Linked DNA regions of Bombyx mori. The protein of the gene in region 1 interacts with the protein of each later gene in a biochemical or structural test. Links are inferred from orthologs where the notes say so. Each region holds a gene or a part of one and is shown in the gene's direction. Other genes may lie near its edges.

Region 1 (4,250 bases):
ATACTTAGTAGTACTGATCTTAGCAGGTTGATGAGAAATGTGCATGAAAAGTATTGTAGCAAATAGGTGTATAAACAATCTTCACAAAATAGCACAACACGGTTGAGATTACTTGCACTTTTCTTCCAACAAAAACAACTGATTTAATTAGCGAGCTCCCTAGCGACTTCTACCACTATCATTGAATTAACCTCAACATTTTATAAATATGGTTCCTTACAAGATTTATTTCTTTTTTTTTATTACTTGGATCTTAAGATTTAAAAGGTAAACATTTAATATAAATTGTTCTTGACCAATCTAAACAGATTCTTGATTACTTAGTGACTAATTAAATTAGTAACTTAGACCAAAAAAACGATACTAACCTTACCACAAAATGAGCAAGTATACTTTGCGTGTTGGGTTACTTCCATCTTTTTGACCATTTTACGTAGAGAGGCACCGTAACGTGTGCCATATTTGCCAGTAATTCCAACCTTTTTGGTACGTTTGGCCTGAAAAGCATTAAAGTTTTAACTTTTCCAAACACCGAACAGCAACCCCGACTACAACAGAACTACGTAAAATAACCATAATTTTAATATTAATTTACCACATACACTTAACTTAAGTATTTTATATACATGAGGACTGAAAGATTACTGAAATATTTTAAAATTTAATTCTCACCATTTTGGTAAACCTCTCCGATACAAAAGTTGACAGAGAAAAGAAAAACAGTTGTGACTTTGACGGCAAATGAATTTGTCAACAATTTATATTTTTGTTTTATTTGTCTTTGAGATAGGCAAAAGAAGCAACGCCCATACTACCAAATTATTAGTTTAAAGGCTAAAATCGATATCGTTAATTAGTGAGAGTTAACTAAAATTTCAACTAAATTATAAGAGCCCGACAAGCTTATTTTATTTTTTTATTGCCTAGGTGGATGGATGAGCTCAGCGAGCTGCCCACCTGATGTTAAGTGGTTACCGGAGCCCATAGACATCTACAATGTAAATGCCGCCGCCATCTTGAGTTAAGTTTTTTAAGTAATTATAGAGTAAAACATCATTTTAGTTATAGTTCGTATAGTTAAAAAAAAAAAATTGTTGTGAAGACATACTTCCTAACCGAGATTTTATCTTAATTTACATTTTTACATTTCATCACATCTCAGAATACAGAAAAAAAAAATATGTATTCTGTGCATCACATATACCACACAGTATAAGTTTCAAAATTACAAAATCGGAGAGAAAGCAGTTTTACAGCGCAAAATAAGATATTCTGTGAAAGGTCTTCCTGTTATTGTTAACCTTTAAAATAGTTATGATTTCTATTCTATAATTTTGCTTTACTCCAATATCTCTATTAGTTTTTTTTTCACCCATTTGTTAAACTCGTTCATTTTAATTTAAAAGAAAAAAATGTCTGACATCCAGATGTCATCAAATGTCAATCAAAACAATTGTCAAGTTTATCAACTCAACGACCTACAGATTGCAGAAGGTCGATCTCACGGTTTCCAAAAAACCGTCCCGCTCATCTGGACGGAATAGTTTTAGTAAAAAATATTGATAATGTTGCGAACAATTGTGTTACGGAATCAAATCTTAAGCGATGGTCTTAAGAAAGCTATACGGTCGAACATTACGAGGTGCATTAGTACAGAACTGGCAAAAAGGAAAGTTACGAATAAGTAAGTTTTTTCGAAATTAAATAATTTGATAGTATATTAATTAGACATTACGTATAATTAGTTATATTTCAAAATTAAGTGTATGTTACAATGTTTTGTAAACTATCCTAAATTGGCGCTGTAATTCGTAGTAGTTGCATAACCCACAACGTCAGTCGCTGCTCTTCACCTTGGCAGTTGTCATGGTTTTGCGATTAGTATGTACCGGCAATCACACGTGTCCGATGGTTGAAACTCAGAATTTGTGATTTAAAAAAATATCATATAAGTCTAATTCAATAATGTTTCAAGCATCAACAATTTGGCGAGCACAATCAATTTATCCATGATTCAGTGACATTCGATACATTTTATTATTTTTATTTGTAACTGATTAAATGTTAGGTGTGATCTGTTGTATCATTTATAATATATATATATATTTTAACAGCAAGTTAATAAAATCTGAAAATAAGTATAAAAACCATATTTGGATCACATTAACTAACCCAAAATTCTGATCTACCCTTAAGATCGTTTACTCTGATTAAAACAAGATAAATTTAAGAAATATACTTTTTTATGATATTTTAAAATTATAAATAAAAATAAAAATCAAAGTAAAGTAATTTCTATTTGCTACATATTGTAGTAAATTTTGACCAAAATAATTAAAATTAATTTAACAGACATAATAGAACATTCATTTATAATCTATGTTGAATATCCTATCTTTCTACTGAGTAGCTGTCTTTAAACTTTGAGGACTATAAAGTTAATATCATAACACCGTTCCAAGATTTTCTATACTTTAATAACATCAGTGATATAAAAATGTTAATTACTAACAAATCACTGCTCAAACACAGTGCTTAAAAGAAGCATGATTACTTATCTTTATGTGAATGGGATCATAGATACTTTACTTTAGTATACAATTTTTACCATTGGATGACTGATAATTCCTTGTCATTAACTTGTACAAAACTAGATTATTTTTTAAGAACATGACCTGATTTTAAGTATCACTGTATCTGATGATTTATTTTTATTTTTTATTGCCATAGCAGGCAATCGAACATACGGCCCACCTGATTGAAAGTGGCTACTGTAGCTCATGGGCATCAACAATGCTAGGGGTAGAGCCAAGCTGCTGCCTACTGCTAAATCTGATCTGTGATTGTCCAAAATATTTAAATGAATTCAATACTTTATTGAATCATAAATTTAGCCTACAGTAGTCAACAGATTTGATGTCAGTCCTTATTAGAAATGATAGTCTGAGGTTTGCTAGTAATCATCTTAGGAATTAATGGCAGTTTGATTGATGCTTACACTATACAACATTTGAGTCTTTAAAAAAAAAAAAACATTAAGTGATATTTAATTCATCTATGCAAACTATACATTTTAAATCTAGTAGTTCGGAATGGAGGTCATTAAAATGTATATTATATTTGTCATGGTTTTCCTTTTGCGGTCTAGACACAATAAAGAACTATTCTAATACATACTAAAATTACATATAAGAGTAACTATCATATTTTTATCATTCTCAGATTGTTAGAACATGCACAGAACCAGACAGTTCTATCTACACCACAATGGACTGTTCAGATGAGGTATTATTCGAGTCTACCATCACATATAAAGGTCAACCTTCCAGCTCTTTCGCCAACCATGGAGAGTGGTTCAATTGTAAGCTGGGAAAAAAAGGAAGGGGACAAACTTAGTGAAGGTATAGCTTGGAAACATGGTTATTAATAGGCTATTTTAGTGAATTTATTTTCTTTGTATAAAAATTAACAGTAAAGAGAATTCGATCTTTAATTTTGTAATTAATAACAAACAGGGCGTGAATAACTATACAAATATACTTGATCTATCTTAATTTTCAGGAAAAGTTCCTTTATACCTATACACAATTACACTAATTGTGTGCTACTGTTTCACTTACATTAAATGTGGTATATTAATATGGAAGTAGTTAAGATGTAATTGCACCAAAATATTCCATTAAAATTTGTTCACAACTTTTTGCATTTTGTTGAAAAGTATGTCAAAATCTATTCCAAAAACAAAGACAGGTGGCAAAACGGCAAGACTTATAATTCCTGATAGAATAAAAAAAATGAAAATGATTTTTATCAATAGCATTTGCGAACTGTCTTTTCTTTTACAATGGGAGAGTACAAATATTGAACTCTAAATGATAAAATGTATGCTTGGTTGGAAAAAGAAGAGAATATGTTGTTCGTGTTTTTCAGTGACCTGTATACAAACAATTACTGTTTTTTTTTATATAAAATTGTGTATTCATTTGGATTAATTTATTTGTTGTTCTACTTTATAGGCGATCTTCTGTGCGAGATTGAAACTGACAAAGCAACTATGGGCTTTGAGACACCTGAAGAAGGTTACCTGGCCAAAATATTGATTCCGGCCGGTACAAAGGGAGTGCCTGTCGGGAAATTATTGTGCATTATTGTTGGAGATCAGAATGATGTTGCGGCATTCAAAGATTTCAAAGATGACTGTGAGTATTGTGCATGACTTTTTAATAAATGCATGCAGCATGATATAGTTT
Region 2 (4,524 bases), on another chromosome or scaffold:
ACCTTCAACGAGGTCCCCGCGCCTAGGGGGCGAGCGGGGTATGTGGGACTCAACGATCTGCAAGGTGTTGGAAGCAGACCGCGGGCCCAACGAATTTTAGGGCCCACCCACTAAGCGACTCCCCTGCATTCTTACACCCGACGTCCGATCTCCGTCCAGGGTCAAAACCCGGTCACTGCCGACCGGGTTGCTCTTCCACAGTACGACGAAAATGCGGACCGCATCGCAGTCCGCAGCCGGCAACGCGTCGTCCCGACCTCCTGGTGCCAGCGCGCTAGAGTGACAGTAGCGTGCGGCGCAGTCTCAACCCCCTTAGGTCGCCCTGTGACCATCACCGGGAGGAGACTACCTCCTCATAGGGGCCGGAGCTGGACAAATGCCCTCCTCTGACCCCTGGCTCTGCGGTGGCGGCACGGCGCCGAGAGGGAGGAAGAGTTCTCCCTCTTCCGTTCCGCCACCTCCTTCTGCGAGATGGTGGACTCGCAGAAGTCGAGCATCGCCTGCCAGGACTCGTCGCTGCCGAGCATCGTAGCCACGACGGTCGGAAGCGACAAGTCCGGTCCTATTTTTGCAACGAGGACGCGGCGCTGCTCCGTGAAAGCGGGGCAGTACGCGAGCGTGTGCTCCGCTGTGTCCTCGTTGTAGCCACTACAGTGGTGGCATTTCGGCGTCGGCTCCCTTCGGGCGACGAGGTGCAGGTAACGACCGAAACAGCCGTGTCCCGTGAGCACCTGCGTCGCTCGGAAGGTGAGACGCCTTCGGTCGCGATTCACCCAGTCCGAGAGGACCGGGCGGATCGCCTCGACGGTCCGTCGCCCGTAGGCGGGGTCCGCCAGTCGGCGAGACCACGCCTCGAGCACGGCATGCCGAGATTGAAGCTTACGCGCTCGAACTTCCGCCACGCTGGGACGCGGCTCCCCCCTAGAGCGGAGATCGCATCGCCACGCGTAATCCGCAGCGAGCGCCTCCGCTTCCAGGTCCCAGGGAAGATAGATACCTCAACCAATTTCGAGAATGCCGCATTCAATCCCTCTTTTTATTTTATGACTTGTCTCGTGTTTTTTAATTCTATAGATGTACATTACCTTTTACAGCGCCATCTCTGTAATGATCACAGAACAGTATTACTTCTATGCATGTGCTGAATTTGAATTCTCTCTAGTAGAGACATCTATACATATAAGCTGAAACATTTATTATCATTTTAGTCGAAGAAAAGTAACGAATTTAAAAGTTTGATCACACAAAAAATTTTTTTTGCAGATTTATTAATTTTATTATGAAAAAACTCCTATTTTAAAATTAAGTAATAAGTACTGAATCCAAGAAATCGAATGACATGATCGATGATTTCATAAATAAAAGGATTAAGCTCGATGGACTTACTAGTAAAATGATAATAACGTAATAAAATTGTCGGCTTAAAATATATTTTGAAATTTGAAGTTTAAATATTAAACCGTAGTTCAGTTTCAATCGTACAAAGAAAAATTCTGACATTTAACAAATTTGACAACTACTGTAATGTCACAGTGTCATGCGTTATGCGTACGAACTTCAATGGATACACTAACGACCTCCATTCATCCTTCGTCGCGGTTCATTCGCGAATTTAATATCATTTTAGACAAAACTAAGATCTTACCTCGCCAATAAACCACCTTGCTGGTTTAGGTGTTGCAAAAATTATTTAACAGTGACATTATATTTAAAATGGCATTAAAATCATCGCCGGCTGTTCTCGGGATGCTCACTCGATTATCCCGTCGCAGTTTTGCCACATCGAAAGCTCTGGCTTCTAAGCCGGTGACTGTAAGAGATGCTTTAAATCAAGCGATCGACGAGGAGATGGAGAGAGACGAGAAAGTCTTCGTTTTGGGAGAGGAAGTCGCTCAATACGATGGTGCCTACAAAGTTACAAGGTAAAACATTCTAACCTATCGTATGTACATAACAGTCGACTATTATATTTACTAGTTATTGCTGAAATTTCAACTTGATTTGCTATTTTAATCTTCTCTGTTATCTCAATTAAGCTCACAATAGATTGTATGTAATCCAAATTCGTTTCATCATTACATAACCCATTCATTTGTTGACAGATTGTCAAGTTCAATGTTATCGTTAGCAAATCGATAGTGCAGTCGATGTACTGTCGATACGACTGCAGTAAACAAACAAACACCCGAATGCAATTTGGCTAACCAATGAAATATAAATCATATAAAATGGATCGAAATTCATTAATACATAATATTTTCAACCTATTTATAGTTTAAAACAATTTCTGTAATTTATACTAGATAATATCTATCGAATATGTTGGAACAAAATTCTGAAAATCTGAAAAATAAAAATCACATCCAAAAGTAAAAAATATATTTAAGTGTGTGCAGACATTTAACTATCATCATATAAAAGAACGCTGTTTCATATAAGATTTTAATGCCATTAATCCTGAAAATTTAGAATGATATCTTCCTTCATACATGAAGATTATGAAAACATTAAATTCTTTAAACAGACAAAATAAAACTTAAATATAAAAGTGTTAATGCTCAGCTATAATGCCTTCTCTTAATATGAAACAATAGAAACATAGAATACTTAAAGTTTACAACCTTTATATTTTAAGCTCTGAATTATAAACTAAGCCTATCAGTATTTAGCGTACCGGTCTCGTCACAGTTAAAGGCCAGATAAGTAACATTAATTAATCTGGGCATGTAACTTTTATTCCAAAAGTATTATTGCATGTGACTTCGAACTATGATCAGATGGGCTTATATCTAAAGTGTACATTGTATTATTCAGTGAACACAGACATCCTACTACTACATCCTCTATTTCTACTACTAACATAAATACATGAATATAAATTCCCTACTGTTGCACTAAGTTTGCATCTAGTTGGTGACTCATAGGTGAGTTTTAGCTTCCCCAGCATGGTTCTAAATAATGTCAATGCACACTACATGAAGCACTAATCAATCATTAAATAATAAATTTCATGTGATGACAAAAGATGAACAAGATATGAAAACCAACAAATAATTTTAGGGGTCTATGGAAGAAATATGGTGATAAAAGAGTTATCGACACACCCATCACAGAGGCAGGATTCGCCGGTATAGCTGTTGGAGCTGCTTTTGCAGGGCTCAAGCCTATTTGTGAATTCATGACCTTTAACTTCTCTATGCAAGCTATTGATCATGTGAGTGTCCTGATAAAATTGATAAGTTGTATTTAATGAACAAAATCCTCGTAATGTCCATGACACAATTGGTGGTGTTATGTCAAATGTTGACAATGACCAAAAAATCACAAATATAAATAAACAAATATGTAACAAAAAATATAGAAAAGGGATATCCCAATGAGTTTCTCTCTGGAAATGCTCAATGTGTGGTTGTTTTCAGTGAAACACTTGCTATGGATTTTATTACCAAGCTCTTTGAGGTTAAGTCCATGACCTCAGCCACCTCAGTCACAGTGGAGGCTGAATAGGCCCTCGAGGCTACTGGCAGATAGGTAGACCAAAAAAATACAAACATAAAACTGCATTATGACAACAATTCCGAAAATTTAAAAGATTAAAACAATGATACGTAATGAATCCCATAAATACATGTTTAAATATAAATCCTTTTGTGTGTCATGTGTTGATAAGAATGTACTAAAAAAAATATGGCCGATAGTCATCCATAATTATTAACTTTCTAAATAACTTGAAAAGATTTGTCTGTTGATATTGTCAATTTTAAAAAAGTAAATAAAAGCGCCACAAGGTTACATCTTACAGATTAAAACTTGATTATCCATTTTCTAATGTAATTAAAATTTCTACCTATAATCACGACAAGTCTTACTGGTGGTAGGACCTCTTGTGAGTCCGCGCGGGTGGGTACCACCACTCTGCCTATTTCTGCCGTGAAGCAGTAATGCGTTTCGGTTTGAAGGGTGGGGCAGCCGTTGTAACTATACTTGAGACCTTAGAACTTATTCTCAAGGTGGATGGCGCATTTACGTTGTGGATGTCTATGGGCTCCAGTAACCACTTAACACCAGGTGGGCTGTGAGCTCGTCCACCCATCTAAGCAATAAAAAATAAATAAATAAAAGTCTATAATTACTTTATGATGAATCCATAAAATGTGATGGTTTCCACAACGATTTAAGCCTAAGCGGGTCATGATCCACATATACGAACCGAAAAATCCAACTACATTAGTAAAAAAATTCACTTCCAGATAATAAACTCAGCCGCCAAGACCTTCTATATGTCAGCTGGCACAGTACCAGTGCCAATAGTATTCCGAGGACCTAATGGAGCTGCCTCCGGTGTTGCCGCACAACATTCCCAGTGCTTTGGTGCCTGGTACAGCCACTGTCCAGGCCTTAAAGTTCTAATGCCTTATTCAGCAGAGGATGCTAAAGGTAAGCAGTTCACCTAGTCATTTTATGCATAGCCAATGAATCTAAGGGAAATATATAAATTGACAACATCAAGCTGTGCACATTTGA

Evidence for each region.
Region 2: the proteins of dihydrolipoyllysine-residue acetyltransferase component of pyruvate dehydrogenase complex, mitochondrial (region 1) and pyruvate dehydrogenase E1 component beta subunit form a complex in vitro, tested with the Homo sapiens proteins (2 studies listed by BioGRID and IntAct, with this or other methods). The link is inferred for Bombyx mori from reciprocal best matches to the Homo sapiens genes DLAT and PDHB.

What each region holds. Positions count from the first base shown.
Region 1 is NC_085109.1:9,393,243-9,397,492, reverse strand, and holds the start of dihydrolipoyllysine-residue acetyltransferase component of pyruvate dehydrogenase complex, mitochondrial, read left to right. Parts: upstream 1-1,450; 5' UTR 1,451-1,565; coding exon 1,566-1,684; intron 1,685-3,222; coding exon 3,223-3,401; intron 3,402-4,016; coding exon 4,017-4,199; intron 4,200-4,250. Other genes in the region: RpL37A (ribosomal protein L37A), read right to left, coding at 369-497, 673-675.
Region 2 is NC_085112.1:15,809,853-15,814,376, reverse strand, and holds the start of pyruvate dehydrogenase E1 component beta subunit, read left to right. Parts: upstream 1-1,498; 5' UTR 1,499-1,713; coding exon 1,714-1,922; intron 1,923-2,806; exon of another isoform or gene 2,807-3,060; coding exon 3,061-3,214; intron 3,215-4,250; coding exon 4,251-4,437; intron 4,438-4,524. UniProt on the Homo sapiens protein: The pyruvate dehydrogenase complex catalyzes the overall conversion of pyruvate to acetyl-CoA and CO(2), and thereby links the glycolytic pathway to the tricarboxylic cycle.